Schizosaccharomyces pombe: one gene and its partner. The protein of the gene in region 1 interacts with the protein of each later gene in a pairwise test. Each region holds a gene or a part of one and is shown in the gene's direction. Other genes may lie near its edges. The genes, in order: gir2 and gtp1.

Evidence for each region.
Region 2: the proteins of gir2 (region 1) and gtp1 interact in a two-hybrid assay, tested with the Schizosaccharomyces pombe proteins (one large-scale study listed by BioGRID).

Annotation. Positions count from the first base shown.
Region 1 is NC_003421.2:814,679-818,610, reverse strand, and holds gir2 (RWD domain-containing protein), read left to right. Parts: upstream 1-2,125; 5' UTR 2,126-2,153; coding exon 2,154-2,217; exon of another isoform or gene 2,218-2,363; coding exon 2,364-2,432; exon of another isoform or gene 2,433-2,504; coding exon 2,505-2,641; exon of another isoform or gene 2,642-2,791; coding exon 2,792-3,169; 3' UTR 3,170-3,524; downstream 3,525-3,932. Other genes in the region: Cu(2+) transporter complex subunit Ctr4, read right to left, coding at 1-152.
Region 2 is NC_003423.3:541,142-545,073, forward strand, and holds gtp1 (GTP-binding protein Gtp1), read left to right. Parts: upstream 1-2,203; 5' UTR 2,204-2,279; coding exon 2,280-2,297; intron 2,298-2,342; coding exon 2,343-2,411; intron 2,412-2,526; coding exon 2,527-2,697; intron 2,698-2,750; coding exon 2,751-3,584; 3' UTR 3,585-3,695; downstream 3,696-3,932. Other genes in the region: protein Cut12, read left to right, coding at 142-148, 191-1,830; translocon alpha subunit Sec61, read right to left, coding at 3,930-3,932.

The DNA of each region.
Region 1 (3,932 bases):
CTAGCAGTCAAAATTTGCAAAGGTGGGAGCAAATTCTCCAATTGAGACAAGCTAGAGTCATCTACAGGGCCTTGGGAATTTTGAGCCATAGATGTTCCTAACTTAATGAGGGAATTACCCAGACTTTGCTTTGCAGCGGAGAAGAAAGACATGACTTCTAGGGAAAAATAAAAAACCAGAAGAGTAGTAAATGAGTTTTAGAAAAAAAGGACGAAAGAGTTAAAAGAAAACTTGAAGATTAGGGAAGACCAGTATCTTACTAACTTTGACAATTATATATTTAGATGAAAAATTTTTGTTCTTAAAAAACAAGAAAACAGAATATATGCAGATGAAAATTAACCCTACGAAACACAATGGAGAAATGAATATCAAAAGGAAGAAAAAGAAAATGAGAGACAAGAAAAGAAAGAAAACACAATTATAAAATGAACGAAATTTCGGCAATCAATGGGCAGAATCTCAACGAATTGAAGAGCAAATTGAATTTATACAGATTTCAAAGAAAATATTCTGTTTCTATATTTTGCTAAAAAAAACCAATTTTTCGACCAATATGAAAAATTACAAGTAAATAAACTGAATTTAAACGATTAAACTAACCAACCCAATGTTCTACCAAAGCCTTTCAGTCAAACAATCGTCTCAAGGTTAAGCGTCCAGGAATGTCTCTATCACACCTTCCTTATATATACCATAACCTACGAAATGAGCGATTATTTCTGTCCCTAAAATCAGCTCTTTTACAGCGCAATAATACCTCGATTGATTTTTTCTTCCAACAAAGTAACATCCAAGTAGCAGATGGAGGTAGAAGAAAAATGCCTCATTTTTTTTCATCAAATGAGTGAATCAGTCGGAATCCAGCATCACAAACAGTGACATTTCCATAATTTTAGCACAAGAAAAACACACACCTAAGATTTAGGTAAGACATCCAACCTTTTTGCATAGAGGAAATGTGACATTTTTTAGCATCAGAACCGTTGAGTGCGCTATCCACTATTAGAAGGTATTGTTTTAACGATACACTATTTACAAAAATAACGGTATGTAAGATACAGCATTTCAGTGCAAGCTCACAATATTGTTAATTTTGAGAAGCAAAAATATGGTCACAGCCAGGTTCGAACTGGCGACATTCGACTTATTAGATCGACATGATAACCGACTACATCATGCGACCACTTTTTGAACAATTGCTTCTTTAATATTTTATATACTCTTTTAGTGAGTAATAGAGATGGAATTTTAAGAAAACAGTATTGATGTTTTTTACAAGAAAGCTTGAGTTTAGAGTGAATGGGTTGGAGTATAAATTTATTAGATTTAACATAGTCTATATCGGATTCTCCCCATTTTGGATTCTCTATTTTTTCAGTTCCCCACAATTGTGAATGCACAGAAATTTTTACCAGTTCTAGTCTCAGGTTTTTTTCTATGCAAACTAATTCACATCATTTTTTCTATTGTATTGAAATGAATTTGATATTTGCAGTGAAAAACAGGTGGCTTGATGACTTTTGATCAGTTAAAACCAACAGGCCGGTGAAAATATGAAAAGACTAGTAAACACATTTGGGAAATACTAGGGCTGTTTTATATATTTATTTTAACCGAAGCTATGCAACAAGAAAATAATTAAACAATTCGTGCTATATTTATTGATTTTCAGAAAGAGAACCTCGAGCTGAAATAAAGGGGAAAAGACCCACAAATCAAAAGATTGGTATTACAATTTCATTCATCTGCTTTATTTTCTTTTTCCTTTTTTAAAAATAAGCATGGTCCTTTCAACTGTCCAATATTCTTTTACACATGCTGCATTATATTTACATGCCATACATAACAATATAAATGTGCTTGAAAAGACAATTGGGGGGTTTTTTTTTCTTAAAGGCACTGAATCCTTCATTACTAATCATTCTCTTCAGAGATGGATCAAGGATTGTTTACTTAACTTTTCCAATAGTGTCAACGCTTGTACCAGTCTGACTATTTAGCTACCAAATAAATAGCTTTATAAATATATTTCTTCTTAAGAGCGAAAATTTAACGTACATTATAGCTGCTTTTTGTTTCAGGTGATTACTACACCTTGATCTCGAGTTTCTACACCTGCCATAGCCCATTTGCATTCCACCTTCACGCAAATGACTTCTGCAATCGAAGAAGAACGGGAAATCCTGGAATCAATATATCCAGAAGAGTTTAAATGTAAGTCAAATATTGTTATTTGTTTATAAATTTTTTCGGAAAGAGTGAGATTTCATAAATGTGCATAATATTTTATTGATTCAAATATTTGCTCTGCAAATTTAATAGACCATCAATTGGAAAATTTATTGATTAACATTAGTTAGGTATAAACGACAGTACATTTGAGATTACTCAACCTATTGATCGTGAAGAATCGAATTGCGATAATCCACGTAAGCCCTTTTTTTTTTAATTTACAACAGTATTTGGTTATGGTCGACTCTCTAACTTATACGATCAATTAGCCTCCTTAATTTTCACGTGTCAGCTCAGTGAAGCTTATCCAGATGAAGTGCCCGACGTTAAAATTACATTCTCTGAACCTCATCCTTGGCTTGGTGAAGAGGAAATAGAGAGACTAAAACAAGTTGTCGCTCAAAATGTATGAACCAGTTAAGATACAATCGAAAAGGGAACAAGAATAGAAGTAGCTGAGGATTGCTTTTGTCCACTAGGAAAGCTCTTTCACTGTTTTATTAAGCATTGATGCATATTTATAATTTCCATCATATAACTAATCATTCATATATAGGCAGAGGAATGCTTAGGAATGGCAATGATATTTTCATTATGTTCTGTTGCTAAGGAGGAGACTAACGCCATTCTTATCGAGCAATCTCAGCGCGAAACACAAGCTATAGAGGAAAGACATCGAAAGGAAGCAGAACAGGAAAATAAAAAATTCCATGGAACGCCAGTAACGGTTGAATCATTTACGGAATGGAAAAAAGGATTTGATGCTTGGCGGAATGAGCAACTAAAATTAGAGCAAGAGTCAAAACTAAAGGAGGCTTTGAGTGCTGCATCTTCGAGTAATGCACGGAAGGCTATATTGGAGAAAAGAATGACAGGAAGAGAATTGTTTGAAAATAATTTGGTCAAGTTGGACGATGTTGAGGGAGAGGCTTAAAGTTGGGTTTAGTTCATCCCGTTACTTTATTGTTGTTTCATCCAAGGTAGGCAGGAACCTTTAAATAAATATAAATAAAATTGGGAAATATAGAAGTTTACTTGAAATCAGGGTTGGGTATTAAATATCTTTTTTGTATACTGCCTGATTTTGTTTTCCATGGCTTTCTTACAATGATTTTCAATCGATGCCGTCTTGCATTCTGCATAACGGTATTAACAATTCATATGTTTTAATATTTATATTATTTTCGTTGTGTAAAGCTAAAAAGCAAGGCTAATGGCAAATATGCCTATATTGTCCTTACACTGTACTGAATCGGTAACAATTGACAAACACGCTTTTATAACATTTTATCAGTGCTTAATTAAATTCAATACATCAATAATTTATTGTTATTTAATTCACCGCTATTTTTGAATAAAGCCAAACTAATTCAAAGAGTATTAATACGTTACTTGTTTCAACAAAGTTTCTTTGCCTCTTACATACAAAAAAATGCTCCACGCCTGCCTACTCGTCTGAGCTTCTCAAAGCTAACCCAGACGGTGAGGTATGGGTAGTACGCTTAAGCGCCATCCATTTTCAGGGCTAGTTCATTCGGCAGTTGAGTTGTTACACACTCCTTAGCGGGTATCTACTTTTAAAACAAACTGCGTATTCGCTAACTAACATTTGCACAACTTAACTTCAAGACTAAAAAAAACTACAAGCTACAGCAACAACATTAAAATGTAAAGAGCACTTAAAAATTGATCAGTCA
Region 2 (3,932 bases), on another chromosome or scaffold:
TTGTGCCATACGTTGAAAACCACCGAATTGGGAAATATTGTTAAAGTTGGGTTGTTTGGACATAATTTTGTTAAATTCGTTTAAATTATTTATATTTTTAATTATATTTTTACATGCAGAACAATTCAGAGATCCGATAGAATGTCAGGTAAGGAATTCCTATGTAAACAAAGCTAATCTCAAAATTTAGAAACTTTGAACACTCCGCCAACATATGCATGGGTTTTGAAAGCATTTTCTAGTAAATTAGCAGGAACTGTGACGAAGCCTGTTACAAAAATGTCCTCTTACATTGAGGATGCAGAATCTGATGCAGAACTTCCGCAAGACGCAAAAGAAGACCTGCGCCCAACTGAGACATTAACTCCGTTAAAAAGTAAAGCAGCACAAAATGGGATTTTGAAAACTCCAGGTACTTTACAAATAAAGAAGACCGTCAATTTCAAAGATATTTCAAAAGATGCTGCGACGTGGAATCGTCCAACGAAAAATAATTTCTTATTTACGAGATTAGATGATGAGAATCCTTTAATGGGTCATGAAGAATTCAAATCCCCTTTGTTACAGAGTACTCCAAAACCGAATATTAATAATCCGGATAATGAAAACAAAAGTAAGCATGACGAGTTTGATAATCGCTATAATATTAATATCAATGAATCCTATAAAAATGAGACAAAAAGCAATCAGAGATTAGGCGAAGATGTCCCTTCAAAGAAAAAATATCCTCACTCGATGGATGCCGAGATCTCTAAATTCAAATGGGATAGTAACAATAATAATGACTGGTCAAGTTTAATGAAGGATTGCTTTCGAGATGTTGTGAACAATAATCGAAAAATGAAGGAAATTATTAAAGACGTTATGATTGACACATCCCAAGCTTTTCCCTCTGAGAGCTTGGATGAACCTGACTATACGATAAACCTTGATGCGCCTCGTTCCTCTTCAGGAAAATACTGGAAGCAAAAGTTTAGTATGCTAGATTCTGCTCATTCGGATCTTGAGTTAGAATTAACCTCTATCCGTGAGCGTTTGGAATCCTTAATTTTAGAGAAACAAGAGGAAATCAATTTTTGGAAACAACGTTGTCGAGCTTTAGAAACGGAGAAAATCCATAATCATCAAGGACAACAGTCAAAATACAAAGGCAAGGAATTCGTTGGAAATAGATTTAGCCAAATGAGGGAGCTTTATACTGCTAAGCCAAGTCCGATTACTACTAAAGTTGTTTCTAGGCCATCCCAATCTGATGTGCGTGAGCCTCAAGAACAGGTTCCTTCCAAGAATTTACATCGGGGAGCAGATATGTCGCATTTGGCAGCTCAAATGCTGACTCATTCATCAAAAAAGTCCCATACGACAAACCTAATACCTTCTGAAGGAATAATTTCATCAACTCCTATTTCCGCAGCTTCCAAAGTACGTATGAATTTAATGCAGTCTAATCAAACTCCTACACCTGCTCCATTTTCAATAGCAGCAAAGAAGTCCCACTTACCGTCGAAACTTAGTTTCCCACAAGATGGTGGTAGCTTATCTTCTGCTACTACCTTGCAGCAATTGCCAAAAGCAAGAGTGACGCCAAACGTGTTATCTTCTTTAAGCTCAAACCTTGGAAAAACAAATCCAACGTCAGTATACCAATCAAAAGCGAACGTAACTACAAGTGCTGATGTTGAAAAACCACAAGTTAAAGTTGCAACTAGTTCTCGCGTGGATTATGATTTGAAGAGTCCAAATCAACGTACTGCGAATGCAAAGAAAAGATTAGAGGAAAGGAGAAGACGAAGGAAGTTGAAACTTCAAGAACTTCAGTTGAATTCCTGAAGGTATAATTTTACTAGATCGATATTGTATAATTAGAATGCATATCCTTTTTAAGTAAAGGACTGGAGCCTTAGTTTCATTTATTTTTGTTGAGGAAAGGTGTGTGCATCAAGTATTGAAAATTAACTATATTCCTTTCGAGAATTAAATAAAATATAAGTCCATTATTAATATTAACTCAAATTACTAATTTTTAGTATAAATGATGGATTCATTATAAGAGGCTTGTAAAAGGCCGTATTAGTCGTGGATATTGTAATTTAATTTCATCTTTTCATGCAGTATTTTACTAGAAAAACATTCAGCTGTACATTTAGATCGTAAGCTGACTGGAAGAATTCCATCTCCTCAACCTCCATTTGAATCTTGTCTTAGGCCATACGCAGTAAAAACTTGAAAGTAGCAACAATTTCATATTACCACACTACGATAGGTTATTAAATGGGAAAATGGGTGTCTTAGAAAAAGTAAATAAAAATATCTGCCGTTATATACTAATCTAAATTGGCTAGATTCAAGAGATTGAAGCTGAAATGCGCCGGACGCAAAAAAATAAGGCGACGGAGTACCATCTTGGTTTGGTAAGTTTTTTTAATTCATTTCTAACTGGAATGCCTTTTATTTTATAGCAAATATTACAATGTTGTTCCAACTTATAAAGAATCAACTCTAAATTAAACTAACCTAGTCCTTTAGTTGAAAGGAAAACTCGCCAAGCTGAGGGCTCAATTACTTGAACCTACTTCAAAATCGGGGCCAAAGGGGGAGGGCTTCGATGTTTTGAAAAGTGGTGATGCTAGAGTTGCATTTATTGGATTTCCATCTGTTGGTAAATCTACTTTGCTGTCTGCTATTACGAAAACGAAGGTTTGCTATTTCTTTTTAAATACTTTATTTTTTTACTAACAATGGTAATATAGTCGGCGACTGCATCTTATGAATTCACTACTTTAACGGCTATTCCAGGTGTACTCGAATACGATGGAGCAGAAATTCAAATGTTAGATCTTCCAGGTATCATTGAAGGTGCCTCTCAGGGAAGAGGTGGCCGCCAAGCAGTATCTGCTGCACGCACAGCTGATTTAATTTTAATGGTTTTGGATGCTACAAAAGCTGCCGATCAGCGAGAAAAAATTGAGTATGAACTTGAACAAGTTGGCATTCGTTTAAATCGACAACCACCAAATGTGACCCTTACCATAAAAAAAAATGGGGGCATTAAATTTAATCACACTGTTCCTCTAACTCATATGGATTACAAAATGGCATACAATATTTTACATGAATACAGAATCCACAATGCAGATATCCTAATTCGTGAAGACATCACCGTGGATGACTTTATTGATCTTGTTATGGGAAATCGGCGATATATCAATTGTCTGTATTGTTATAGTAAGATTGATGCCGTTTCGTTGGAAGAAGTGGACCGACTTGCTCGTTTACCAAAGTCTGTCGTTATTAGCTGTAATATGAAGCTGAATCTTGACTTTCTTAAAGAGCGCATTTGGGAAGAACTCAATCTCTACAGAATATATACTAAACGGAAAGGAGAAATGCCCGACTTCTCTGAAGCCCTGATTGTGCGCAAGGGATCAACAATCGAGCAAGTCTGTAATAGGATTCACAGAACATTGGCTGAACAATTAAAATATGCACTTGTATGGGGTACTTCTGCAAAACATAGTCCCCAGGTTGTTGGTTTAAATCATAGAGTTGAAGAAGGAGATGTGGTTACTATTGTGACAAAATAAATAGGAAAAATTTTTCGTTTATTAAATTTACAGGAATGCTAATATTTTTGTTCAGTACATACCTAGTTTTATAAAGCAAAACAAAGTTGAACTGCTTCATTAAAAAACTATATACATAAAAAGATTGTAAATATTCCTTTCCTATAATAGTGAACATAAATTAATTGATGTTATCGGTGTTTTGCATTGAATCGGCTTCAATCCAATAACAACCCTCAAAATAAAGTATGTTCGATACTTTGAATAGGAAGTCTCCATGCTTTTTAAATCCAACTGCTTCTGGAACTATATTTTAAAGTAAATATTTCTTCATCCTTGTTAGCATGACCCATCATATTAGGCATTTTA